7 linked regions of the Cricetulus griseus genome follow. The protein of the gene in region 1 purifies or fractionates together with the protein of each later gene. This does not show direct contact. Links are inferred from orthologs where the notes say so. Each region holds a gene or a part of one and is shown in the gene's direction. Other genes may lie near its edges. The genes, in order: Crk, Shc1, Nedd9, Dock5, Sos1, Asap1 and Pxn.

Region 1 (3,500 bases):
TCTCTTAGATCCTTGATTGAGTACAGATTGATGGAGGGTTGTATCCCATGCTATGCCCTACCTTCCTATTTAGCTGAGGTTGACATTGAACATCAGATCTTTCAACCTATATTTTCCAGAGTGTTAGGACTCTGGATATGTACCACTGCACCCAGTGTATGTGGTACTGGATATCGAACTCATGGCTTCATGCACTCTCCCAACAAAGCCATCTCCTTAGTCCCAGTTTTCATGTTTTTGAAATAGGATCTCATGTATTAGACTGCCCTTAAGCTCATGCATCTAGAATGACTTTCGAACTCCTGATTTTCCTGCCTCCAAAGAATAGATTTGGGGGTGGGGTTATGAGACAGGGTTTTTCTGTGTAGATCTAGCTGTCCTGGAGCTCACTCTGTAGACCAGGATGACATTGCACTCATAGAGATCCATTTGCCTCTGCCTCCCAAGTGCTGGAATTAAATAAAGGCATGTGCCACCACTGTCTGGCCAAAGAATCAATTTTAACCAATGGGGGGGAGAGAAAGAGAGACAGAGAGTAGCTAGAGAGATGGCTCAGGGGTTAAGAGCACTTAGCAAAGTACTAGGATTTGGTTCCCAGCACTACATGATGGCTCACAATCACCTCTAATTCTAGTTCGAGGGTATCTAATATCTCTTCTGACCTGTGAACACACATAGTACGTACACATAAATACTATATATATATATTAGTCTTGGGCTGGAGATTGAGAGCACATACTGCTCTTAAAGAGGACCCTAGTTGAGTTTCCAGCATTCACACCCAGCAGTTGACAACTACCTGTAACTACAGCTGCAGGGTATCCAAATCCCTCCCCTGAACTCTATAGTCACCTGCATGCGCATGCACATACCTCCACACAGACACACAAGCATATAATTACTTAAATCTTTGAGCCTCCTGAGATGACTCTGAATAGGAGCATTTACTGCTCTTGCAGAGGACCTGGGTTCAGTTCTTTACGCCCACATGGCATCACATAAAGCCATCTGTAATTCAAGTCCCATGGAATATGATGCCATCTTCGGAATTGTACATTGTAATGATGGTAATGTATAGCTTAGAGTAGCTTACAAGTTTCTCTCATTTCTTGTTGGAGCAGTTGCACGGACCTCTTAAAACAGGAGGGCTTGAGGCCAGGCCACATGCCTTTAATCCCAGCACTTGAGAGACAGAGACAGGTGGATCTCTGATCTTTGTGAGCCTGGTCTACAGAGTGGGTTCCAGGACAGCCAGAGCTGTTTCACAGAGAAACCCTGTCTCAAGTCCTCGCAACCCCCCCAAAAGGAGAGCTTGCTGTGCTTACTGAGGCTGTAGTGTACATTTGCTTACTTTATTTATGGAGTAGCAGAAGAACTTTGTGAGAGAATGATCAGAAAGTGTGTGTGCTATGCTGTCTTTGCAAACCAAGTGGCCTGGTCTCCCCTCCCCATGGTGATGGCATCTTTCTTTCCAGAGGGTGCTCATTTTATTTATTTTATAAATGTATAGGTGTTTGTCTGCGTGGATGATGCATCATTTGGGTGCCAAGTGCCCAAGGAGTCGAGAAAATGGGCATTAGATCCTTGGGACTGGGGTTAAAGTTATGAGTCACCATGTTGGTGCTAAGATTGCCAGGTCCTCTGGAAGAGGATACTCAGTTTTAAAGTGTGATACAGCCCATTTGGGCTGTGAAGAAAAGGGTTTGGTTTTGGTTTTTCTTTTTTTCTGGTTTTTTTCATTAGTTCAAATTAGAAACAAGCTTTGCTTCACATGTCAATCCCTTCTCCCTCTCCCTCCAACCTCCCACCTGCCCCCCACCCCATCCACCCTCCACTCCCCAGGCAGGGTAGGGCCCTTGAGGGTGGCTCCCCAAAGTCCACCACATGATCCTGGGCCGGGCCTAGGCCCTCCCCCATGTGTCCAGGCCAAGAGTGTATCCCTTCACGTGGGATGGGCTCTTAAAGTCCCTTCTTACACTAGGGAAAAATACTAATCTACTACCAGGGGCCCCCTAGAGTGCGGAGGCCTCCTAATTGACATCCATGTTCAGGGGTCTGGATCAGTCCTGTGCTGGCCTCCCAGACAGCAGTCTGGGGTCCATGTGGTTTTTCATTTTTTTTAGGATCCTTTCTTTGCTGACCAAATATTAACCACATATGTATGAAAAATACATAAATCTGTTTCATCGGCAGTATAGTATACCTTCAAATGACACTCTGCTCTGTCTTTTCCAGGAGTGAGTCCCTCCCGGCTCCGAATAGGAGATCAAGAATTTGATTCATTGCCTGCTTTACTGGAATTCTACAAAATACACTATTTGGACACTACAACATTGATAGAACCAGTTTCCAGATCCAGGCAGGGTAGTGGAGTGATTCTCAGGCAGGAGGAGGCAGAGTATGTGCGAGCCCTTTTTGACTTTAATGGGAATGATGAAGAAGATCTTCCCTTTAAGAAAGGAGACATCCTGAGAATCCGGGATAAGCCTGAAGAGCAGTGGTGGAATGCAGAGGACAGCGAAGGAAAGAGGGGGATGATTCCAGTCCCTTACGTGGAGAAGTATAGACCTGCCTCCGCCTCAGTATCGGCTCTGATTGGAGGTAACCAGGAGGGTTCCCACCCACAGCCACTGGGTGGGCCGGAGCCTGGGCCCTATGCCCAACCCAGCGTCAACACTCCGCTCCCTAACCTCCAGAATGGGCCCATTTATGCCAGGGTTATCCAGAAGCGAGTCCCTAATGCCTACGACAAGACAGCCTTGGCTTTGGAGGTACATAATGTGCAAAATGTAGAAAGACGAGATCTGCTACAGGGTCTCCCTTTCAGACCTCTTACAGCTTTGTAGGAATGCTGATGCAGCACCAGCTTTGTGATGTTGTAGATGTCAAACCATTAAATACTGATCTTGGCATTTTATGTGGGTTTTCTCTCTTTTAGAGAAAACCTGTTTTGCAATGAGTAAACTTAAAACTGTGTAATTGAATGTTCTAATTGATCTACTAAAACTATTTTGACTAATAACCACCTGAATTCATAGTAATTAACATGAAGTAACTTTTCTCATCTATATCCTAACTTCTTTGTTGCTTTCTGTTTGTCATTGTCTAAAACAAGATGGGTTCACACAGATTAGAATGTAGTAAGTGGTATGTAGCAATATACTTGAGTGGAATTTTTCCTTTTTTTTTTTTTTTTCTGTTTTGGAGACTGGATGTCTATGTAGCTCTGGCTGGAATTCACTTTGTAGATTGGCTGGTGTGAAACACACAGAGAACTACCTGCTTCTGTTTCCTGAGTGGTAGGATTGAAGGTGTGTGCCACCACACCCAGCCAAAAACTCCTTTTATTTTAGTGGCTAGCCTGGAAAGGCTGAATGATAGCCTTGGCCAGGCCCTGGGTTTTGTCCCTAGCGTCACACACACACACACACACACACACACACACACACACACACACACACAGAGAGAGAGAGAGAGAGAGAGAGAGAGAGAGAGAGAGA
Region 2 (4,087 bases), on another chromosome or scaffold:
ACTCTTGGTCATTCCTTGCCTCTGGATATGAACGCTCCTAGAGAAAGCCATCTCTCAAGATGAAGAATCATTGTGTGTGTTTGGAAGTGTATGGCTGTGGCAGAATTTTTCCTCCTCTAAGAGCTGAGGTCTTACTTAGTAGACGGGATGACAGAGTTTCTTTTCAGGAAGAAGTTCGATATTCAGTAACAGCTCTCCTGGGATGGGGACTAAGGGCAGGTGAAAAATCGGAAGAATGATATTTAACCCGTTTTAAGTTCCGGTATTGTTAATCACAATCATACAGTTTTTAATTCTCCAAACTAAACCTAAAGGTAGTTTGGAGGTGAGCCTGTAAAGAAACTACCTTTTACTTCTTGTATTTGCCTCTCCCCCCCCCCCTTTTTCTTTTTTTAAAGGAAATAAGTGATAGTTTATTCTGGAGTAATGCTGATTGGTCACTTTCTTTAACTTCCTGATGGCCTTTAGCAGAGCTGTGGCAGGAAGCTGTGGGCAAAGGAATATGGGCTTGGTGTTATTATGCACTTATGGCCAGATCCCAACCTCTGGTATCCCTTTCTTCTTCCTGTCTTTATTAACACTGATTTGTTTATGGCCCTATTATCCCTTTGTGGCTTGTAGGCACCAGTTCTGTTTGTTTCATTTTCAGACCTCCAAGGCCAACTCCTCTACTAGTGTGAGGGACACTGTTGGGTGGACCTTACAGCCTGTAAGGAGAGAAATATGTCTGTAGGTCTAAAGGTAGCCTGATTGTCTCTACATCCTCTGGAAAGGGGTCCAGGAAGTCCATTGGTCCTTGGTAGGTAACAAGCCTAAGGGACAGGCTTGCTCTAGCTCTTGCCTAGTAGCTCCCAGACCACCGCCCAAATTGGCCTTATTCCTCCTGTTTCAGCTTTGCTTCCCTCTTGGCCTCGATCTACACCCACTGGGACAACTTTCTCTTCCTGGTTCCTTGCTCTTGTCCACAGCTGTTGTGGCTGAGGATGCTAATGGCCCAGGTTCCCTGGGGCTGCCACCTCACTTACTGTATGGTGGGGGGTGGGGATGGTCTAGGCTGTAAGAGAAATACTAAACTCTAGATCACCCCCCCCCCTTTCCTCCCTCAGCAGCTTCTGTTTCCTCCTTTATCCCTCCTAACCTTCCGGGCTTCCTGCTCTCTTTGGCTAGCCCATGTCAGTTTGGATTAATCCAGAGTTCCTCTTAACTCCTTCCTTTCCTTCTTTCCTCTTTTTCTTATTCTTCCATCTTTCTCTCCTACCTGGCACCTTCATCCTCCCCAGACAGACCCTAGTTGTTTGTATTGGGTAAGGGAGAGTGGCCTGGCTAGCACACATTGTGTGAGGAGGTGTCTCTGCCCCTCTGAGCCTGTGAGTCAGCATTGTCCTTGGGATTGGTCTCTCCCCTTGGTTCCCCGCCCCTGGGGAGGAGCCAGTCAGCTCTGGGTCCAGCCTGTACTCCTCAGCCATAAGAGGCTTCCTCGCAGGGCTGGGCAAGGATGTGGCCTGAAACTGTCTTGGTCTGACGTGGGAGAGCAGAGGCCACTTGTCCTTCGCTTCCCTAGGTCCTCTGTTATCACCAGGCTGCAGAGGTCAGACCAGGCTAAGGGCCTGGGGATGCCCCCTGCCTGGCCCCCTTGCCTGAATTTGGCAGGGGGGCCAGGCCGGGCCAGGCAGCAGCCCCCCTTCTCACCCCAGCCATGGATCTTCTACCCCCCAAGCCGAAGTACAACCCACTTCGAAATGAGTCTCTGTCATCGCTGGAGGAGGGGGCTTCAGGGTCTACCCCCACAGAAGAGCTGCCTTCCCCGTCAGCCTCATCCCTGGGACCCATTCTGCCTCCTCTGCCGGGGGATGATAGTCCGACTACTCTGTGTTCCTTCTTTCCCCGGATGAGCAACCTGAAGCTGGCCAATCCTGCTGGGGGGCGCCTGGGGCCTAAGGGAGAGCCAGGAAAGGCTGCTGAAGATGGGGAAGGGAATGCAGGGGCAGCCCTTCGGGACTCAGGCCTCTTGCCCCTCCTCCAGGACATGAACAAGCTGAGTGGAGGCGGCGGGCGCAGGACTCGGGTAGAAGGGGGCCAGCTGGGGGGCGAGGAGTGGACCAGACACGGGAGCTTTGTCAATAAGCCCACACGAGGCTGGCTGCATCCCAACGACAAAGTCATGGGACCTGGGGTTTCCTACTTGGTTCGGGTGAGTGTACATCCTCCTTTCTGCCCCCTCCCATTCCCCATCCAGTTCCTCTGCTCACTCCAGATTTGCTGGGACTTCCTGCTCTTCCCCCAACATCTGTGGCATTCCCCTAGTTCTTAACCCTGCCTGCCACATCCCTTCTCCAGTTCTATGCCTTCTGTTCTAGCCTGGGAGTCTTCTGCCTAGGTCCCCTTTCCTTTGATCCCTACCCCCAGCTTACACAATGGTCAAGCACATCAGAGGCTTTTAGTAAGTGTTGAATGAAAAATGACTTCTGGGTTCTTCCCTCTAGACTCCTCCCTTTTCCATAGCTGTCACTCCATCCCACCCAGTGCCTACAACTCCTCTCACAATCTCTCCACAGTGCATGAAGGTCCTCTTTGGTGGCCCTTCTTCACTATGGGGTGGTGGCCCCAGGAAGTAGGAAGGCTACTTTACCTTTACTTCCCTTAGGGACTACATAGGGCACAGTCCTAGAACCTTCTGCAAAGGGTGGGGTATTGCGGGGAGGGGGCAGCTGATCCATCCTTGCCTCCTTCCCCCACAGTACATGGGTTGTGTGGAGGTCCTGCAGTCAATGCGAGCCCTTGACTTCAATACCCGGACTCAGGTCACCAGGTTAGTGGAGAGGCAGGTGTATTGTTGGAGTCTTGTATGGAGGAGGAGGAAAGGTGGGCATTTGGTGGTGGTGCTGATGGTGACTTCTCATGGGGTGGCTAAGAGACCTGAAAGTTACACCAGTGTGTCTGACTGCAAAGAGCCAGCTCTGGTCTGGAGCACCACCTTACCCACGCAGCCTGGGAGACTGTGGGACGATGGATTACAAAAGGCTGCTTTTGGGAAGGGAATGGCAAATTTGGTAACTGGGAAGAGGTGGGGCTATAACCATTGAGGCCCTAACCCAATCAGCCAGGAAGCAGCCCCTCAGTGTCATCAAATATTAAAGGCCCTTAATTCAATCCACCACGACAAAGAGCCTGGAGTGCTCTGAGAATCTGGCCTGCTCTTCCCCTCCCCCAGCTTTGTGGCAGCCCCAGGCAGTGGGAGGCCAGGAGTAGGTCTGAGTACCCCTGTTTCTCTAGGGAGGCCATCAGTTTGGTGTGTGAAGCCGTGCCTGGTGCCAAAGGAGCCACAAGGAGGAGAAAGGTATGTGTGGTTGTGGTGGGCAGGGGGAAGGCAACCGCAGGCACAAGGGGAGGAGACAGAAGTGTCTCCTGGTGTTGCCAGTGCTCAGGTTCTGAGACTTGGGGCCTTTCCTAGCCCTGTAGCCGCCCACTCAGCTCTATCCTGGGGAGGAGTAACCTGAAGTTTGCTGGAATGCCAATCACTCTCACTGTGTCTACCAGCAGCCTTAACCTCATGGCAGCCGACTGCAAACAGGTGGGTGGGGCTGCTGAAAGGGACGGGGGTAGTTATGGGATGATGGGGTGGGGGGATCTGGAGGCCAAAAACCTGGAGTCCTCAGGAGCAACTGGAGAGTAGAGAAGGAAGAAATTAGAGGGCTTGGGTATAGTGACAAATTTAATCCCAGTACTCCAGAGGCAGAGGCAGGTGTTTGAGTTCCAACTATACAGTGAGACCCTGCATCCCTGTTACACCCCCCCACTCCCCCCACCCCCGCCAAATAGAACAAAATTAGAAGAGTGTAGGATTAGAAGCCGAGAGAAAGACTGGGCGCCAAGGTCATAGCTGGGGTGAGGACACGCGGGATCTTGACCACTCCCTTCCTTCTCCATCCCCTGCCCACATGAGAGAATGAGAGTGGGTGCCAAGGTCATAGCTGGGGTGAGGGTACACGGGACCCTGAGGCTGCTGACCTTGATTGTTCCCTTCCTTCTCCATCCCCTGCCCGCATCAGATCATTGCCAACCATCACATGCAGTCCATCTCGTTCGC
Region 3 (4,029 bases), on another chromosome or scaffold:
AATCTTTTTTTTTTTTTCAAAAGTTTTAATCCGATGGGAATTTAGAGAGAGAGGCAGGAGGCACAATTGATTCTGGTCCAGCTTAGTCAGGAAAAAAGTAAGCTGCTTTTTCCACCCGAGTCGAACAGTCTGGCTGGAATGCATCCCAACTAGGGGATAGTCATTGAATGCTCCAAGTCCTGAGGCCCAAGGAAAAGGAACTTCTGTCTTCTCCTTCGAGATTCTCTTTCTCTATAGAAATCTCCAAAAGGAACTGCTACACAAATCATGGTCTGTGCTTTACCAGAGAGAAGCTGTTCTTTTTTAACCAGGCTTATCAAACAGTGGGGTTCTTCTCCCGGGGTAATAAGTGTGAGTGGGTTAATGGGTCATTTTGGGGAGAGAGGTCAGAAGGAAAAAGCCTCAGTGTTCAAAGCCAGCAAAGAACATAGTGCTGGGTGGACAGGAATGATATATAGGGACTGTTCTACAGGACCTCCATGCGTTCCCATCTAGCCTTTATCCTCATCAAAGACCGCCAAGGTCTCTTAATGTGTCTGATACTCCTCTCTGAGGTCCTAGTGAGATGTTCTAGGCAAACCTGGTGCTTGTGAGTTCCTTTTCACTGAGGGAGAAATGCATTCCAGCTCCTAGCAGGCTGACTTTGCAAAGTGCTTTGAACACTGAAAGGGGGTGAAAAAGAAAGCAAACAGCCACAGAAAGGGGAAGGGAAAGAGAAAGGAACACAGAGAGAGAGAGTATCAGCAGGGGTGGTTAGTAAAAAAAAAGGGGGGGGTCTGGAGACAGAAAACCTTTTGTTTCCCCAGCTCGTTTCATGTAGAGATTGAGAGGTGAATGGCTTTGAAATGGGTTTATGAACTAGTTGCTGGGTCACAGGAAGAGAGATCGTCAGACGACTTTGTGAATTCGGATTCTTCAAAAAATTTGGGTTAATTTCAAAAGGAATGTATGTCCTTTGTCTGGTTCCTATTTCTTTCCTCTTTAAATTTTTTTATTCCTTTGGCGGGGTGGTTTGGGCGGCCTCCCCACTCTCTGTTTTCTCCTCCGCCTTTTGATAACGTGAAAAGAAATGATCATATTACACGCTCTTTGTCGGGAGTGTTTCAGAAGTTAGAGGTGGGCGGAGTGGAGGCATTACCTTCCCCCCACCAGCCAATGGCGGCGAGGTATGCAAATGAGGGCCGTGATCTGCGGGTCTCAGCCTAAGCGCTGAGCTCAGAGGCTCCGCAGTGCGCGGGAGGCGAAGGTTCTGCTCTCCGTCCTGCGGTGTGCTCAATGGAGCGGCAGACACTGCAGGGCTACACTGTGTGACTAGGATAGGACCAGGGCTCGTCCGATCACTGCCGCGATGAAGTATAAGGTAAGAGTGCCTTTTGCACGAGTCTCCTGAGAAGCTGGGGGCAGCTGTGCCTGCGGGATTCCCACCGTGACAACTGTGCAGGGATCCCTGGTGTGTCTGGTCTCGCTGAGCTGCGTCTGATCTGGTTTCCAGGGTGCCCTGGGGTTTACCCGCAAGCCGACTTGTGCTTTCAGATCTGCTAGCTTGCAACACGTAGCTCTGAAGGTTGCCCCGGAGTAGCGGAAGGCAGTGGAGAAAAGTTAGTGTAGGGGCGGCCGCAGCCACTGGAGGTTAGAGTCGCAGCAGGCAAGTCGCAGGTCACTGCCTGACCAGAGCCGACCTGGGGAGCCTTAATAAGAGGAATCAGAACTACTGAGTCTCTAACGGGCTGAAAAAGCACTTTTTCCGAGTTTGCCTTAAATACTCGATCTGCGAAGCTATCTGCTCTAGGCACTTTCGGTAGAAGCAAACTAAGAACCCAGACACTATCATAGGGCGGATGATGGAGAATTCCAGCATCCTTAAATAGTTCGGTTTTATGAATAAACGAGTGTTAGTCATTTCTGGGTAACACTTTATTGGGGTTTGAACGGGTCTGAAAGTATGAAGGCTCCGGCTGGCTTATTTTCCCTGACGCTTACAGAATGTCGTGCTCATATTTTGGCAGCATTATTTTCCATTGCATTTTGCACCACGGTTTCTGGGGTTACTCTTGGCAAAATGATTATGACTTGCTCAGCACATCCCGTCTGAGGAGGCAGTTTCCAAGGGACTTGGCCCAGTAGCAGATTGCATTGACTGAGCCATGCCACCCCACCCACCCCCTACCCCCCCCCCCCCCGCCCGTTGAATAGACAAGAGTCCTCGACTTTCAAAGGACAGTGCTATTACAAAAAAAAAAAATCATTTTGGTCAAGCGGCTTAACAGGTTCTGATAACTGATTTAGTAGGGGCTAACTTTGCTTCCCTCTGAGGTATGTAGCCTCTGGCCCTTCCTTTTGGATAGGTGGATGTAAACACTTGCTGTACCTAACAGCCACAGGCTAAAATCCATCTTTTGTTCGGTGTCTGTAAATCTTGTTTAGAAGCCCTGAACCAGAATACCCAGTCTTTGTGGCAAAGCATGGGAGATAGCTCTTGGGAAAGTTCCAGCAGTGTGAAGACCCAGGTATCCATTATCACCCCACTATCAGCTTTCGTTCTGAGCATCGGTGGGGAGGAGCAGAAGAAAGGATGGCTCCAGTATTCAGAGGGAGATGCAGCTTCCTACCTGGCAGGAACAGAGTCTTTTGGAAGTGTTTCTCCCCCGTCGCTAAGTCTCCTTGTTCACAGAATGGAACAAGTACTACATGGTACTTACCCTGGGATGGTTTTTTTTTTTTTTTTTTTTTTTCTCCCCGTTGTTGAATCAGGACTGTATTGTACAGGAAAGGGAAAGGGTTTCCTCCGTCTGTTACTGGGACATTAATGACTGATGTGAGCTTGGAGTGCCACAGTCTAGAGAGTGACGTAAAGTCTCTTTGATTTAGTGACCTCATCACGTTTAGCTTTGCTCTTTGTGGAAAGAAATGTCATGGGGACTGGTGATGTACACTGCAGGTGAGAAGCTGCCACTGGGGAAAGCCTTCCAAGTGGAAAGGTCTACCCAGAGACGAATGCATTGCCAAGCAACAGAAATGTGTGGCGGTTGTGTTTTTACTATTATTACTATTATCATAGGAAACCTCACCAGCAAAAATGCTGAGCTCCCCAAGAAAACAAATGATACAAAGGCACCCTGTGTTGACCATAACAGAAGTGAGCCACTTTCTTTCTGTCACAAAGTCTATTAGTTAATGTAAGATAACTTTCTTCCTGGAGGGAATTAGTCATGTTCCGTAGAAGATGCTGAAGTAGAGGCATGATGAGTAGCGAGTTACAAGACTGTCATATTGAACTCTCCCATCCCTCGAAGGCACACTCATTCTCAGATGTAGTAATTGGGACCCACAGAGGCCAAGTGATTTTCCCAGTACCACCACCTGATGAGCACGGGATTTAATACTCATGATTTAGCCACTACCAAGAGAAAAAACTAAAACAGAAATCATCTGTAACTCCTTAAGAGTTCTGGTCCCAGGAAAGTTCAGAACTATTTCATCCCAAATGTTCCCTCAAGACAGTCTTCTTTTGCCCCCCTCTCCATGGTAACTCTACAAAATGAAATACAAAGTTGGCATTTATTTGTTTAATTTGAGCTACTTAAGTAGTAAAACCAGATAATTATTAGATTGTAAAACCCAGGAGTCTGGAATTACGTCTTAAACACTATGTTGCACCATAAACTATAAATTTAGCATGGTCTTAAAAATGGATCATTGTCAGATTTATGTCAGGCTCAAAAGGTTTCTTTTTTCTCTCAGAAGGTTTCTGTTTTTCTTTTTTTTCCCTCCCCCCCCACCCACTGTTGTTAACTGGATGATCTTGTTTAGCTACTTCAGAGTTCATAACTAGGGAGCAGCCAACTTCTCTTCATTTTGTCCTTAAAATACACAGCTCCAGGCGGCTAGCAATTATTTACAATTATGAGGGCTATGGAATGCAAGCTATTGCTCTAGGTAAATCTTTCTACTTAGTACACAGCTAGTGTGTTTTCATTTTACTTATATTTTTATTTGTTCATGGGAAGACTGTCAGGGGTATTTAATGTT
Region 4 (4,178 bases), on another chromosome or scaffold:
ATTTTTTAAACACTTAGTATTAAGTACACAATGAAAATTTACTTTTAAATTACAAAGGTAAAGTTGGGCGGTGGTGCACGCCCTTAATCCCAGCACTTCAGAGGCAGAGGCAGGTAGACCTTTGTGAGTTCGAGGCCAGCTTGGTATCCAAAGTGAGTTCCAGGATAGCCAGGTCTATTACACAGAGAACAACAACAACCACAAAAATACAAAGGTAATAAATGACAAATTATGTAATCGTGTTTAACTTTGAGTTACAAAATTAACATTTAAAACGAGAGGTAACCGAAACACTTTAAGAAAGATGCTGTTCTCTCATCCAAGACTTCAAATTCGGGACATCCTTTCTAAAGAGGAAAATCAGGAACAACAACAAAACAGAACAAAAAACTATTCAGGCATAGTTTGCAAAAAGTCACCAGAGCTCACTCATCTCTAATCAAGCATGTCTGTCTTTTACTGCGTGTTTTAATTTCATGTTCTATTCTTGTCAGGTTCCAAACTGGAAAGAAAGCCTCCATAGACTCCAACAAAAACACAATTTCTCGCAATAAGTATTTTCTCAGATGGCGAAGCTAACTGGCTGTTTAGTCTGAAGTTTTATTACTAAGTAAGTAGAGTCTATCTCATTCTGGTCTCTTCTGGGGTAAGCGCATCTCCCCGCAGAGGGCGCCACGCTCCTCTCTGTGCAGTTCAGCTGCCACCTTCTGGAGTCCTTAGTCCAAGTCTGGAGAAAGACCGAGAGGGATGTTCCCGGATCATCCCCACAGGGGTGCCTTCTGGGCAGGGGGCCATTTGGAAAGGGGACCCCTTGGAGCGGACACCTTCCCTCAGTGTGAAACTGTAACTGGCGAGAATTAAGTCCCTGAGTTTGGGATTTCCAGATTAGAACTTTGTCAACAGTTTCCTAACGGAAGGTCCCCTAGATCGGATACTTTTGAAGCGCCTGTGTCCCTTGCACTAGTTCTCTGTGGGCCTTGAAGCCGGGCTTCCGGCTCTCGGGGCTTCTGCAGACGCTCCCGGAGGCGAAGGCGATAGCTCGCCGCTCATTCATTCAGCAAATATTTACTGAGCGTCCGGAGGCGATCCGTGACCCTCACCAGCTCCTCCTCCTCCGCGCGCCGCCGCAACGCAGCCCGGGAGCACTGGGGACCGCGGAGCCGACCCTGGGAGGACCAGGCGGCCAGCTCTAGGCTGTGGCTCGGGGTGGACGAGGCGGAGTCGGCGGGGGAGGCGGGCGGCCGGGGCGCAGAGGGCGCGGCCAGCGGGAGGAGCCGGGGCGGCGCCGGGGAGGGCGCGCGGGGCTTCGCGGCCGCCGGCCCCAGCAGGTGACCGCGGGCGGGAGGGTGGCGCGGGCGTGCGGGGCCCCGGGCGCGAGCGAGGCGGGACGGCTCGGCGTAGACGCGGCCGGCGCGCCAAAGTCGCCCAAGTTTTGCCGGAACATGGCGGAAGAGTCCGACCGGCGCAGCAGCGCTCGGAGCACGAGTAGCTACAGCCGCTAGCGCCGCGGGGCGAGGTCGTCGCCATGGCCCGCTGGATCCCGACCAAGAGGCAGAAGTACGGGGTTGGTGAGTGTCTGCCCCGCCCCACCCCGACCCGAGCGCCACCGAGTCCGCGGGCTTTGGCCCCGCCGAGCTGGCGCACACTCCGCCGCCCGGGTTCCCTGGTGCTGCAGCCCCGGGAGTCCAGCCCTCCCGGGTTGCTAAAAGTGCTTCTAGGCTTGGGGACTCTGGTCCCCTATCCGAACACCAACTCCAGCGTCGCTCACTGTGGGAGCGCGTCGGGTCCCCTTTGCCGTAGGTGGCCAGCAAGGGTCGCACGTGGGATGGTGCGCTCTGCGCCTGCCCTTTCCCAGATCCGACTCTGAAGCCCCAGAGTGCCCCTCCTTCCCTCCCTGGGATTGCAGTCCCCTCCGCAGTCCCAAACAGAATGAGAAGCCGAAGTTGCGAGTGGAGATGATGGAAGAGACACAGAGTGTGTGACGTGGGAAGGAGGGCAGGGGGTCCTGGGGCTATGTGTGAGGACACCCATCCGACCTACTAGAGTGGATAGAGAGGTGTGACACAGCTTCCCTGAGGGGAAAGAAAGAGCTAGGTCCCGCGCTGGCGCGTGGCATTCGCGGTACCCCAGAGCCCCGTGGTTGTTGATCTGTTTGTCCTCTTGGTTTGGATCCGAAACCGTGGCTATGTGGACCCAGGTGGAAAAACTTTCCACTTTCACTTTTGATTGAAGGAAGTCAGGTGGGAAGCACTCACCTTTGGCCGGACAATTGACATGACAATTAGACTTTAAAGGAATAAACAAGTGTGTTGTTTGAGAATTGTATCACTTTCTCTGGGATTCATTCACTTGGCAGGTTTGAAATGCAATCCTTTACTTCACTCCCTTCAGCACGCCTCTTTTTCACCACCTCCCGGGCCCGCAGAAACACTGCCTTAAGTAATTAGTCTGTTGTGACATCTAGACTTCTTTCAGACATAAGTCCTATGTGCCTCCGTAACCGTGACTCAGGTTTCCCCTTTCGTCTTTAGTATATTATTTAAATTTGATGCAGTCTGAAAGCCTGCACATATACCTTTGTGTGTGTGTGTGTGTGTGTGTGTGTGTGTGTGTGTGTGTATATATATATATATATATATATATATATAATATCCAAAACTTTTTATTTTAAATTTGGCTTTTCTTTTAGAATTTTTTGCGCCTCCACATGGCTGCAGGTCACATGGCTGGGTGAGATTTCTTTAGCCCCAGATCATCGGGTCTTGACTTAACCCTCAAACTAATGGTAGGACTGTTGGCCAGATGCCGGCTTGTAAGTAGCTGGTCGTTGTGTAAGTGAAATACTGTAAAATTGATGAAGGGATGGGTGCGTCAATCATATATCATGTCCAAAGCCTTGGGTTCTCTCTTGCATAAAAAAGAGGGAATTCATTTATTTGAGCAATATAGAGTACTAATTAATTAGTAAAAGCATGTTTAGCGGTAACCGCTAATTTTAAAAGGCCTTTTCTAATTTTGCCTAGGATGAAAGTTGTTTCCAACAAGTATGTTTCCGACAGTGTGCTTGCTGTATGGCATGGGAGTAAGAATGTTTCCAATATTTCCCTGTGCTCCAATATTTCTGTGCTCAGGGTTTTGCTTATTTATCAGAGGTCGTTGAAAGTCTTTGGGGCAGATCTCAACAAAGTTGTTCCAGGGTGCAATCTGAGACACATACTTCACTAGACACAGCGGATTCAGGCAGATGTGGATGTTGAGTCCTTGTGCTCTTGTGTTTGGAAGCCATCCTGGCTACAGAAGGGCCCGAAGGAGCCAGTTCTCAGAGTTCCCATAATGGAGTCCTTTCCCTTCACTCCCCTTCTGTGAACTCTGCAGTAGACAATCCACTCATCTCTGTGGTGCAGTGTTCCATGGAGAGTCATCCTGTGGGGCTTTGCTCCCTTCTGCGTGCCCTGACCCCCAACTACAGGACACTGCCAACACTGCATGCCTCTCTAGCCTTTCCCTTGGGGTTCAAATCTGCCCACTGCTTCCTTCAGATCTACTCCTGCTGCTCTTCACCAAGGCTCATACCTACTTTGTTGCAGATTATTGACTGCTGATGTAGGAGGAGAGGGTGGGGGTCATTGGTTTCTCTTGTAGGATCCCACCAGCCCTGTTCTCCCATACCTTCTGACTAGGTGTTTGTTTGTTTGAAGCAGAGTTTCTTTGTCTAGCCCTGGCTGCCATGGAACTTCACTTTGTAGACCAGGCTGGCCTCAAACTGATGTTTTTGAACCTGCCTTCTAAGAGCTGGGATTAAAGGCATACCACCATGCCCAGCATGGTTAGTTGTATTAATTCTGCCCCAATTGTACATACATGGAGGGTGCAAGGGTAACTGAAAGGGGAAGTCCGCCTTCCATGCTGGGGTGAGATTTTCTGGTACCAAGAAGACTTTGATGTCACCTACTCTTCTCATGCTCAGTAAGTAAGCCCAGTGAACTCATTGGTTTCCCCAAGTTGGACTTTGAGGGAATCATACATTGGTTTGTCATTAGTGCCCTATAAAAAGGGGGTATGTGTTTGTTTATGTCTCCCGAGGGGAAGAATTCTTGCAAAAGAAGGTTATGGTTTTTTATTTCTGCCAGTCAGAAAGTTTTGTCAGATAAACAGTAGTCCCCCTTACAGTGTCATTC
Region 5 (3,500 bases), about 86 Mb from region 1:
ATATGCAGGCAAAACACTCATACACACAAAATCAAAAAAGTTGCATTTATAGAGTCCTTAAAATTACTGAAGTTGAAAAGGTTGAGTGAATGTTAATTTTATCCTTAAATAAAGTGAGGTTATTGTTTTGCCCTTTTGACTAAACAGCAGTTAGAAGAAAAGAGCGAAGATCAAGAAGACAAGGAATGTGTGAAACAAGCAATAACAGCTCTGCTTAATGTCCAAAGTGGCATGGAAAAAATATGCTCCAAAAGTCTTGCGAAGCGAAGACTGAGGTGACTGTTCTTATTCTAAAGTCTCTTTGTTTCTACCCTGAAGCTGTGGTATAAATTCAGGGGCCTTAGCTCCCTCCTTAAGTAAACAATGAAGAAAAAGATGTTAGTGACAAGCTTGGTCTTTCAGAGGAAGTGACATCAAAGCCAGGAGAATTTGTTATTGTTTGAAAAACCTTTCATATTTGTGCATTTTCCCTGCATACTCCCAGACAAGACCTCCTGAGGAGCAGCGGGTGAGCTGAAGGAGACAGAGCAAAATGTACCGGGTAGATTTACACCAGCGACATTGTTATGTCAAAGTCAAATTAGAAGTGTTCTTTAGTTTAGTGATTATATAACTTGAGACATTAATTCAGAAAGCAGACCTTCCACTTTCCTAATTATAATGTGCTGTCTGCTTTTATCGTTGGGTCTTGTTCCTTTAAAAATACTTAGAATTTACTTTCATCTCTTAGGACTTTTTTTTTAACTGTATTGGGCTACTTTTTGATCTGTCTTTCTAAATATTTAGTACTCAGGCAGAAATAATCATTTTGTACGTGAATCTATATAGTTGAATATCACTGTTCTTTTTATAACTCTGAAAATATTTCTGTGCTATTTTAATTTCTAGAGTTGTATAATTACATATATTTAGGGAATTAGTAAGCACATGTCAGTGATGTTTAAAGTTCTAGTTTGCCCTGCCACCTTATCTGCATGAACTGTAAATTCTGTCTCTGTACTAATAGTGTCTCTTCCTTTACCCAGTGAGTCTGCATGTCGATTTTATAGCCAGCAAATGAAGGGGAAACAACTAGCAATCAAGAAAATGAACGAGATTCAGAAGAATATTGATGGTTGGGAGGGGAAAGACATTGGACAGTGTTGCAATGAGTTCATAATGGAAGGAACTCTTACACGTGTAGGAGCCAAGCATGAGAGACACATATTTCTCTTCGATGGCTTAATGATTTGCTGTAAATCAAATCATGGGCAGCCGAGACTTCCTGGTGCTAGCAATGCAGAATATCGTCTTAAAGAAAAGTTTTTTATGCGAAAGGTACAAATTAATGATAAAGATGACACCAGTGAATACAAGCATGCTTTTGAAATAATTCTGAAAGATGGAAATAGTGTTATATTTTCTGCCAAGTCAGCTGAAGAGAAAAACAACTGGATGGCAGCACTGATATCTTTGCAGTACCGGAGTACCCTGGAGCGAATGCTCGATGTAACGATGCTTCAGGAAGAGAAGGAGGAGCAGATGAGGCTGCCTAGTGCTGATGTGTACAGGTTTGCAGAGCCAGACTCTGAGGAGAATATTCTGTTTGAAGAGAACGTGCAGCCCAAGGCTGGGATTCCAATTATCAAAGCAGGGACTGTGATTAAGCTGATCGAGAGGCTTACATACCATATGTACGCAGGTAAGAAACATGAAATAGCTTTTATTGTCTTTCTCTGCTCAAGCTGACTGGTTTATTATGCCTCAATAGAAAACTCACAAAAGGCCAAGACTTCCGATAGAGAAGCTTTGACTAAACCATCACCCTATTTCTTTGAAGTCTTTACTACTTCTACCATATTTGCATCCATCATTTTAAGCCTAGAATCATAGTTAGAAAGAAAAAAGTTACCTGGTAAAAAGCAGTAGGAACAGGATGAATTATCAATGTTAGTGTATCAAAGTTTCTGCCCCTGTGTACTGCTTTTCTTATTCTATAACTGAGTTACAAACTATGTGGAATTTTAAATATTCACCCATCATCAAAATTGTGCTAGTTGCAAAAAATATATACAGTATTGCCTTTTCTTAGTCTCCATTCCTATATATATTAAGGAAATCTGGAAACCAATTTTAGTATTTTGTTCTTAGTGTTATTTATGCAGTTTTATCTTAGCAGGTTTTAAAGACAGACCAGTCTGAACAACCTAGAAAGATGCTAGGCAAGATTACATAGAGTGGCTGAGAGGTAAGGGGCATATGTGAGTCGTTTTATATGATCTGGCACAGTGGGGCGTCTGATCACTGTCACATCTTAGCACTGTGGTGGAGTAGACAGCACTGAACTCACACTCTGTCTCTTCATGTCTCAGAACCACAGATTCTCATCTCAAAAATTAACATCCAAATAGCTACCTTAGTGTAAAAAAAGCATAAATGAAATACTGAATGTGAAAGCTATTTAAATATAAATGTAAATTTTCTTTAAAAGACATGTGTGATTTAAAATCAGTATAATTCATAATATGGTATTTTTAAATACCTGAATGTGAAAATTAACCTCTATTCCCATATTTCTCACTTAAATATATTCCTATTTTTAGGAAATGTATGCTTCTGAGAAAAATATTTTCCCTTTTTTTTTTTTAAGTTCTATAAGTGGGTCCGCTGTTTCCTTTGGAAGGTGTCCTGGTGCTAGTAAGATTAGCCTTTTAAAATATTAATTTGTTTATTCACTTAAGGAAAACTGAATAGCATTTAACAAGGCTTTTCTATTCAATTTATCCAATATACAAGCAGAACTCAATATGGCTGAGAACTACCAAAGAGTGAGAAATTAAATTTGAGTAGTATTTTTATGAGTGTTCTCAAACCACTTTATAAAATAATATATGCCATTATCCACATATCTCTGGGATAGATAAGCTAGAGTTTAGTTTTGCTTTCAGTTATTTGGACTCTTAACAGGTAAATCTTTGAGGCCTTTTCCATAGTAAATGGATAGCATTTACCAAAGGTGAGTTTTGCCATGCTTTGGCTTCTCTGAACGTGTATTATCCAGTGGTAGGTGCTGAATGTTAAGAGAAGCCTCACCTGGGGTTCCAGTTTTACTATAAATTGTCTCCTAGACACTTCTATACGCAGTGTTTGTTACTCAGAAATTTAAAAAAAATATTAAAAAAAATTTAAGTTGCTCTGTAGTTATATAAAAGATAAATAGGTTACCTCTCTTTCTACATATATAAAGCTGTTTTAAGAGTTACAGTTTTCAGTAATTATTACGACCTATCTATTTACTTGATCTTCATCAACCTTCTGTATACTGTTTAAAATTATAGCCAGGCAGTGGTGGTGCACCCCTTTAGTCCTAGTGCTCAGGAGGCAGAGGCAGGTGGATCCCAGTGAGTTCCAGGCCAGCCTGGTCTACAGAGCGAGTTCCAGGACATCCAGGGCTACACAGAGAAACCCTGTCTCAAGAAAAGTAAAAAGCAAAGGAAACAATCAACAACAACCAAATTATA
Region 6 (3,500 bases), on another chromosome or scaffold:
CAGCCTCTGCCTCCCAAGTGCTGTGATTAAAGGCATGTGCCACTACTGCCCGGCCAGGTCGGTGCTCTTGCTGGTGTTTGGCCTTTTTCCCATGACTGTGATGCCTTCCACCTTTATTTCGTCTTCGCCGTGACCGCCTCTTATCCTTTCCCACAGTGGCACTAAGGAAGACAGAAACCAGCCATCATCTCTCCCTCGACAAAGCCAACAACCCACCTGAAGTTTTTCAGAGATCATCACAGTTGGCAGAGTTACCCCAAAAGCCGCCGCCCGGAGACCTGCCCCCAAAGCCCACGGAACTGGCCCCTAAGCCCCAAATAGGAGACTTGCCGCCTAAGCCTGGAGAACTGCCCCCCAAGCCCCAGCTAGGTGACCTTCCTCCTAAGCCCCAGCTTTCAGACTTACCTCCCAAACCACAGGTGAAGGACCTGCCCCCCAAGCCACAGCTGGGAGACCTGCTGGCAAAGTCCCAGGCCAGTGAAGTCTCATCCAAGGTGCAGCCACCCTCAGAGGTCACACAGAAGTCACACGCTGGGGATCTCTCCCTCAATGTGCAGGCCAGAGATGCCATCCAGAAGCAAGCATCTGAGGACTCCAATGACCTCACTCCCACGCTGCCGGAGACGCCCGTACCACTGCCGAGGAAAATCAACACGGTGGGTGGGAATCGGGCTCTTTTGGCAAGGCCATCGCACTTTTCCTTTCATGGTGCTGGGAACAGGACCTAGAGATGCGTGTCTGCTCTCCACTCTGCCACTAAGCCTCATCCTCAGACTCTGGCAGTTCCAGAAGGTGGCGGGAGGATGTATGCTCCACCTCAGTAAGAACAGTGTCCCATATGCTCTCTCCCCCCCATCGAAGCGTCTGTGGTGGTTTGGAGCCCGGTGGCTGCAAACACTGCCTTTGGATCCCTGCCGGCATGCCGTAGGACCCGGCTTCAATGCCCAACGCAGCTGCCTGGCTAGCAGTCATTCTCTGAACCTGGTTCCTCGGGTACAAGAGGGGCTTGTATGGTGTCAGGGGCAGCAGTGGCCAGCGAGCAGAACATAGTGACCACATAACGAGCACTCAGCCATGGTGTCTCTGACTCAGAAGCCATGAGGGTTGAACTCCACCCACCCCTAGGATCAGTCTCTGTCCCTTCCCCGCTATATCTTCCCACCAGAACCAGAGAGAAAGCCCCTCCCCCAACCCCCCACAGATGGGGTTTGGCAGTGGTCCAGTCACTCCAAACTTTTCATGCACTGTGTCCCACTCTATAAATTATCAACTTTATTTTTATATAAAAATGTTGGGTTTTTTTGTTTTCCCAAGGCCCCCACAGTCTTTGTGTAAGTGTGACACTCCAAAAAGGTGTCCCACAGGACACAAGCTCCACAGATAATGGTGGAGGACCAAAGCTCTTTCCAGTTCACGCAGCATCTCCGCTGGGTCATTTTATTATACCAGTGCTGCCCATCACGGGGAACGTGAAAATGACCGGTCCCCCGTCCCCCGTCCCCCCTCCCTCCCCCATTCCCCCACACACACTTGAGCTCACCATCGTCAGCTTGCCATTCTTGCAGCCTTCCCTGGCGCTGCTGACGATCCTCTGGTGTCTGATAATGAGCAGAACTCCAGTTCATGCTGCCTTAGAGACAGCGTCCCGTTCAGTCCTCGCCGCCGTCACAAACTAACACATTACAGGCCTTCTCAGTCTCTCGGCACTGTTGAGAGGACAATCGGCTGCTATGGTTCTGGTCAGCCTTCCAGCCTCACCAGCACTCACACTATCCCAGCCCCTCCCCCCAAGAGCATCAGGACAGCCAGAAAGAAGCCAGGGCCGGGGAAACAGACACTTGGCCCAGAGCACTTAAAGCGATAACTTGCCGGGCTGAAGCCACTACTTGGCGGTTGGGAGCACTGGCTGTTCTGCCAGAGGACACGGGTTCAGTTCCCAGCACCCACATGGCAGCTCATAACTGCCTGTAACTCCAGTTTGAGGGAATCCAACACCTACACACACGCATACACGCACACACACACACAAATGCTGTGCTTGAACTAAAAAAAAGAGGTAACTTGCCATTTCTATTGCTAATAATCTAATTAACTGGGTGCTCAAAATATTCTGTAGAAGGTAATGCCTCTGTTTACACCCCCTGTCTTCAGAGAACTGAAGTCCAGCCAGTAGAAGTCCTGGTGGGGATCACAACTGTTTAGACCCTGTCTGTTCCCTGGGTTTCCCTGGCGAGCCCTGGCCTGTTTTGCAGGAGGCCCCAGGAAACCCATCTGTGCTGTCCATTCACCGTGCAGAAAAAAAGGCACATCCTGCTCATTTCCATAGCTTCTGCCGTCATTTCTGTGCAAGCTGATGCTGTGGGGACAGCAAGGAAGGACAGGTCCTTTCATGCATCTTGGGAAAGCTGAGCTGTGGTCGCTACCCGCTCTGGATGCTCTCTGCCGAAAGTTGATGCTAGCCAGAGGAGGGGCTGCCATTCCTGAGACTGTCTTCTACACACACACACACACACACACACACACACACACACACACACACACACACGTGGGGAAGTCCAGGCAAAGAGAGAAAACACCTGCCGGGGTTGGCCCACCCTGTGAGGTGTTGTTCTGTTTCTCCCTTCTTCGTGTTTTCTCTAACGGAACCTGCTTGCTTTATTCTAGGGGAAGAATAAAGTGAGGCGTGTGAAGACCATTTATGACTGCCAGGCGGACAATGACGATGAGCTCACGTTCGTCGAAGGAGAGGTGATCATCGTGACGGGGGAAGAGGACCAGGAGTGGTGGGTACGTACCCAAGTCTGTCCGTCTGTCCGTTTGACCATTGATCCCTCTGCTCTCTCCGCTCCACGGGCGGGTGTGAGGGTCCTATTAGGTAACGTAATTCACCTCATGGCCATTCACGTACGTTCCCCCTTCTGTCGCTAAGTGGGTGCTGTAACAAGACAAAGTCACTTTGAAAATGGGCCAAGCCACCCTGGCTGCTTTTCTTGGTCAGGACCAGTGGGGCGGCGGGGGGGGGGGTGCTTAGAGATGCTTCCTGGTGTCTTCATAGCCAGAGCCCTGCCTGCTCTCAGTGTGCACTTGCTGGAACACCACCTTAGGACAATGACAGAGTCGGAAGTCCCCCATTGGTGTCACTTTCCAGCCCAGTAGACTTGAATCAAGCTCATCCCATCTGTAAACCTGCTTCCTCTGGAGGGCAGGGCGTGGGTGGGGGGGGAGACAGAGTCCTACTTGGGGAGAGTGTCCAGATGTCACTCTTGTCTGTTAATGTTGCAGTGAGGTGATACAGTCACTGCTAAGTAACCAGTGACTCCAACTGAGACTCCTGGGAATAAAGGAACATTTTTTATGATGTTTCAGTATCGTGCCCAGGGAAATTCTATGAGCCCCCAACCAAACACGCATCCCAGTAAAGAGGTTAAAATTCTAATGCTGGTGTGTAACCCATGGAACCTTCTGAGAGCGCACTCTGTGAAGGTTGCTGAGAGAGGTAG
Region 7 (4,022 bases), on another chromosome or scaffold:
GGCCTTCGAACAACTTCTCGTCCAGCCATACAGCAGGAGCCAGGGGTAGGTGCACCCACCCTAGTGACAGGTAGTCAGGGCTGCTAGGAGAGGGCATGACCTCAAAGGCCCTTGCTTCCCTTTTCTCTGCATGGGAATGGAGCTACAGACAGGGCCGCCAGCAAGGATCAGAGCTCGAGCCCCTGGTGTGTAGGAAGTTGAGTTCCTTAGATTTGGTATCTTGTCTCTTTGAAATCACAGCAGTCCCTCCTGCAGGCTTGGTGTCTGGGACTTAAGGAGTCTGAGGAGTCTTGTGATCCTGCCCTTTCCTGCTTTATCACTCAGGGCAGGTACTGCTAGCCTCCAAGCCTACTTTCCTCAGCTCCAAAGACAACAGTTTGGCCTTTTAGGTCACCAGAAGGGGCACTTGTTTGTGACCACGCGTGTAGATGCCTTTAGTGGTTCCTAGTAGATGGTGATCAGTGCAGTGCAGCCACTGCCCCTCGATTGCCACTCACGAGGGCCCAGGAAGCAGGTCACTAGATGCTGAGAGTGAGCAGGTCAGTGAGCAGTGCAGGAAGGAGGGAGGGTGTGGTGAGCGGGGCTGGACTGTACCCAGGCCGTGGCACTGTGGAAGGTCCCAAGATGGGAGGCTATGGCAGGAAGGTCAGTACCTCCAACTCCTGTCCCTCTAGCTGTCCCTTCCTGTCGAGAACCTGAGCCTCTTGTCGGCTACTGCATGCCAGGGTAATGGCAGCTTGTGTTGGAGATCTGACCCACCCCCCATTAAAAGCGGAGTCATGGGGCCCTGGAGTTTCTAGGGCTGGGCTGCTTGCCAGGCTTTGGCAGAGCAGTCTTACTCCCAGCTTGTTGAGGGGGTGGCTGCTGCCGAGCTGGCTTCATGCCAGCCCCCTACCTCTCTGCATACCTTACCCACAGCCTGGGGCCTCAGGAGGAGCTTAGAGCATGGAATTCCGCTCCTACCTGGAGCACAGGTGCTCCCTAAGGCCACCCCCTGTCTTTAGACTTGGGCTGAGGCTCTTAGAAGTCCAGAGAGGACCTGGCTCTATCTACCCAGCCCCTCCCTGTGCTGTGACATGACGTAGGACTCCTCCCACCCAGCTCTCCCAGTTGCCCTCAGGAATCAGAGTTCTAAGCAGGCATTTCTTGCTTACACCAGGCAGCAGCAGCCTAGCCTTGTCAGGAGGAATGCAGAGCCAGGCATCTAACCCCTGAGGGAGGAGAGGACGGGCAGCCGATGTGGAAACTCCAGGTCTCTTCTCCCATCGAAGCAGCAGGTGTCTGCCAGACAGGATCTCTTCAAGTTCAGGAAGGCAGGACACTGCCCCTGGGAAGTGCCCAATAGGGCCAACTCTCACCAGTGGACGTCTTCTCTTTGCAGACGCCCTGCTGGCAGACTTGGAATCAACCACCTCCCACATCTCCAAACGGCCAGTGTTCTTGTCAGAGGAGCCCCCTTACTCCTACCCAACTGGAAACCATACCTATCAGGAGACTGCAGTGCCACCCCCTGTTCCACCACCCCCATCCAGCGAGGCCCTCAATGGCACGATCCTTGACCCCTTAGACCAGTGGCAGCCTAGTGGTTCCCGATACACTCACCAGCAGGTAAGGTGGGGTCTGCGGAGCCCTTGGGGGCTGAGTGGTAAAAGGAGCTGATCTGCCGAGGAGATGGAAAGCCATTGGGGATGGACTGGGATTCTGGGCTCCTAGTCATACACTGCCCTTCTCACCCACCATGTGAGGGGCCAGTGACCAAGTATTAATCACCTGACTAGCTGTGGAAATTCCCTGGTGAGACAAGCTATGAGCAGGAGCTGCCTGGGGGTGGCCTGAGTAAAGTACTCTTTCTTCTGCAGCCTCCATCCCCGTCACCTGTGTACAGCTCCAGTGCTAAGACTTCCGGTGCCTCTAACCCTCAGGACAGCGCTCTCTGTTCCCGAGCAGGCGAGGAAGAACACGTCTACAGGTACAGAACCAGCACTGTACATCAGCCCGGCTTCTGGGAAACCCTAGGGCCACTGGTGGAACTATAGAAGGCCTGAAGGCCCCTGCCAGGCCCTGTGCTTGTCAGCTGGCTCCCCTCTGCCCTGTCACTGCCTTCTCTGTAGAGACAGCATCTCTGTAGTTGAGAAACTGAAGCAAAATTTCCTTCCTCCTTGCCTTACCACATTCCTTCCCTACCCTCCGCCTTCTTGCTGAAGAGACTTGGTAACATTCCACCCCTCCGGCCTTGAGAATCTGGGGCCTGCCACATCCAGTGCAGGGCAGAAGAGTCTTACTTGTTTCCTCTCCTTCTCAAAGCTTCCCCAACAAACACAAGTCCGCAGAGCCTTCACCTACCATGATGAGCTCCTCCCTGGGCAACAACCTCTCGGAGCTTGACCGTCTGTTACTAGAACTGAACGCTGTGCAGCACAACCCTTCAGGCTTCCCTGCAGGTGTGAGCGGGTCTCTGGACTACTCATGGGCCTTTGGGTTCCTAGAGGACTCAGGGATGAGCAACCATTTTGTTTCCTTATCTCCAAGATGAAGCCAACTCAAGCCCCCCACTACCTGGAGCCTTGAGCCCCCTTTATGGTGTCCCAGAGAGTAACAGTACCCTGGGAGGAAAAACTGGGCCCCTGATGAAAGAGAAGCCAAAGCGAAATGGAGGCCGGGGCCTGGAGGATGTGCGGCCCAGCGTGGAGAGCCTCTTGGATGAACTGGAGAGTTCTGTGCCTAGCCCTGTGTGAGTATCCATTAGGGTCTCCCCAGGCTGGGGAAGCTCTTGAAGTCTCACCCCGACTGTCTTCGGGCTGTGTGGTACCTGTCCATCAGCCCTGAAGTCACCTGCTCCCTACAGTGTCTGCTACTTGCCAGGTCCTGGGGATATGGCATGACCCGGCAAAGCCAGGGTTAGCACAGGTTTGCTGATGTGGCACAGGGTTTAGATCATGGCTGTGCCAGCTACAACAGTCTTACTCTCGCTCTATAAGTTGGAATAAGCCAAAGTAGGGCATGGTGACACATGGTTATAATCCCAGCATTTGGGAGGTCGAGGTTTGGAGATCTCAGGTGCAAGACCAATCTGGGCTATATAAGTGAGTTCCAAGACAGTCTGAACTGCATGAGACCATAGCGCAAAAATACGACATAAACTATAAAATAGGTAAAGCAGACAGTAATAATGGAGATGACCCTACATAGTAAATAGAGTGAGACCAAATAGTATATAATAGTATATAATGTTGGGGGGGGTGGGGGCTGGCTCGTAGCTGTGGCAATCACAGCTATTAGGGAAGCCCCTAATAGCGTCAGGTCTTGTTTATTTTGAGGTAGGGTTTCACTCTATATCCCAGACTCTTCTGAAACTCACTATGTAGTAGCCCTCCTGCCTCAGCTTCCCAAGTGCTGGGTTACAGGGATGAGCCACCATGTGTCAGTGTTTATTGATGTGTAATAATCTCGCATGTGTATAGTGTTGAGAGGCTTTGTAGTGGTGCCCCTGTCTTCCTGTAGGGGTACTGTGAACCACCTACCTTCTCTGGTCACCTCACCTCAGCACTGTTTCTTAGCTAGTCACTCTTTCCCAGGGATGGGGATCCCTAAGGTGCTGCTGGGTTCTGGTGGCCTTCCCTGGAGTTGGAGGTGTCGTTGATCTGGAGCCCCCCCCGTGGAGCCTGGGGCTGACCCTTGGGCTCCTTACTGACTCCATGCCTGCCCCACAGCCCGGCTATCACTGTGAACCAAGGTGAGATGAGCAGCCCACAGCGAGTCACCTCCAGCCAGCAGCAGACACGCATCTCGGCCTCCTCTGCTACCAGGGAGCTGGACGAGCTCATGGCTTCACTGTCGGATTTTAAGGTGCCCTCTGATTCTCTCTGTCTTCCCTGCTCCCATCCATTACCCTTCCTCAGTATGACTAGCAGCTCCTCGGGGCCCTGGAGGAGAGAGGCTAGGTAATATTCAAGACTGAGCTCCTTAGCAGCTTGTGAAGGCAGAGAAACCAGAGATGCCTTTAGCTGGAACATTCCTCCCTC

What was found.
Region 2: the proteins of Crk (region 1) and Shc1 purify together in Homo sapiens (affinity purification with western blotting; 3 studies listed by BioGRID and IntAct, with this or other methods). This does not show direct contact. The link is inferred for Cricetulus griseus from reciprocal best matches to the Homo sapiens genes CRK and SHC1.
Region 3: the proteins of Crk (region 1) and Nedd9 purify together in Homo sapiens (affinity purification with western blotting; 3 studies listed by BioGRID). This does not show direct contact. The link is inferred for Cricetulus griseus from reciprocal best matches to the Homo sapiens genes CRK and NEDD9.
Region 4: the proteins of Crk (region 1) and Dock5 purify together in Homo sapiens (affinity purification with mass spectrometry; 3 studies listed by BioGRID and IntAct, with this or other methods). This does not show direct contact. The link is inferred for Cricetulus griseus from reciprocal best matches to the Homo sapiens genes CRK and DOCK5.
Region 5: the proteins of Crk (region 1) and Sos1 purify together in Homo sapiens (affinity purification with mass spectrometry; 6 studies listed by BioGRID and IntAct, with this or other methods). This does not show direct contact. The link is inferred for Cricetulus griseus from reciprocal best matches to the Homo sapiens genes CRK and SOS1.
Region 6: the proteins of Crk (region 1) and Asap1 purify together in Homo sapiens (affinity purification with mass spectrometry; 3 studies listed by BioGRID and IntAct, with this or other methods). This does not show direct contact. The link is inferred for Cricetulus griseus from reciprocal best matches to the Homo sapiens genes CRK and ASAP1.
Region 7: the proteins of Crk (region 1) and Pxn purify together in Homo sapiens (affinity purification with western blotting; 4 studies listed by BioGRID and IntAct, with this or other methods). This does not show direct contact. The link is inferred for Cricetulus griseus from reciprocal best matches to the Homo sapiens genes CRK and PXN.

What each region holds. Positions count from the first base shown.
Region 1 is NC_048600.1:89,155,508-89,159,007, forward strand, and holds part of Crk (adapter molecule crk), read left to right. Parts: intron 1-2,235; coding exon 2,236-2,771; intron 2,772-3,500. UniProt on the Homo sapiens protein: Involved in cell branching and adhesion mediated by BCAR1-CRK-RAPGEF1 signaling and activation of RAP1.
Region 2 is NW_023276806.1:65,125,204-65,129,290, reverse strand, and holds the start of Shc1 (SHC-transforming protein 1), read left to right. Parts: upstream 1-1,287; 5' UTR 1,288-1,696; coding exon 1,697-2,191; intron 2,192-2,738; coding exon 2,739-2,809; intron 2,810-3,273; coding exon 3,274-3,337; intron 3,338-3,451; coding exon 3,452-3,571; intron 3,572-4,049; coding exon 4,050-4,087. UniProt on the Homo sapiens protein: Signaling adapter that couples activated growth factor receptors to signaling pathways. Participates in a signaling cascade initiated by activated KIT and KITLG/SCF.
Region 3 is NC_048596.1:261,016,479-261,020,507, reverse strand, and holds the start of Nedd9 (enhancer of filamentation 1), read left to right. Parts: upstream 1-1,229; 5' UTR 1,230-1,348; coding exon 1,349-1,360; intron 1,361-4,029. UniProt on the Homo sapiens protein: Scaffolding protein which plays a central coordinating role for tyrosine-kinase-based signaling related to cell adhesion. As a focal adhesion protein, plays a role in embryonic fibroblast migration.
Region 4 is NW_023276807.1:222,938,933-222,943,110, reverse strand, and holds the start of Dock5 (dedicator of cytokinesis protein 5), read left to right. Parts: upstream 1-1,378; 5' UTR 1,379-1,525; coding exon 1,526-1,568; intron 1,569-1,575; exon of another isoform or gene 1,576-4,178. UniProt on the Homo sapiens protein: Guanine nucleotide exchange factor (GEF) for Rho and Rac. GEF proteins activate small GTPases by exchanging bound GDP for free GTP. Along with DOCK1, mediates CRK/CRKL regulation of epithelial and endothelial cell spreading and migration on type IV collagen.
Region 5 is NC_048600.1:3,652,780-3,656,279, forward strand, and holds part of Sos1 (son of sevenless homolog 1), read left to right. Parts: intron 1-147; coding exon 148-275; intron 276-1,025; coding exon 1,026-1,681; intron 1,682-3,500.
Region 6 is NC_048603.1:24,041,848-24,045,347, forward strand, and holds part of Asap1 (arf-GAP with SH3 domain, ANK repeat and PH domain-containing protein 1), read left to right. Parts: intron 1-156; coding exon 157-656; intron 657-2,664; coding exon 2,665-2,787; intron 2,788-3,500. UniProt on the Homo sapiens protein: Possesses phosphatidylinositol 4,5-bisphosphate-dependent GTPase-activating protein activity for ARF1 (ADP ribosylation factor 1) and ARF5 and a lesser activity towards ARF6.
Region 7 is NC_048597.1:95,638,555-95,642,576, forward strand, and holds the start of Pxn (paxillin), read left to right. Parts: upstream 1-1,222; 5' UTR 1,223-1,237; coding exon 1,238-1,277; intron 1,278-1,381; coding exon 1,382-1,608; intron 1,609-1,859; coding exon 1,860-1,969; intron 1,970-2,304; coding exon 2,305-2,441; intron 2,442-2,529; coding exon 2,530-2,731; intron 2,732-3,710; coding exon 3,711-3,846; intron 3,847-4,022. UniProt on the Homo sapiens protein: Cytoskeletal protein involved in actin-membrane attachment at sites of cell adhesion to the extracellular matrix (focal adhesion). Recruits other proteins such as TRIM15 to focal adhesion.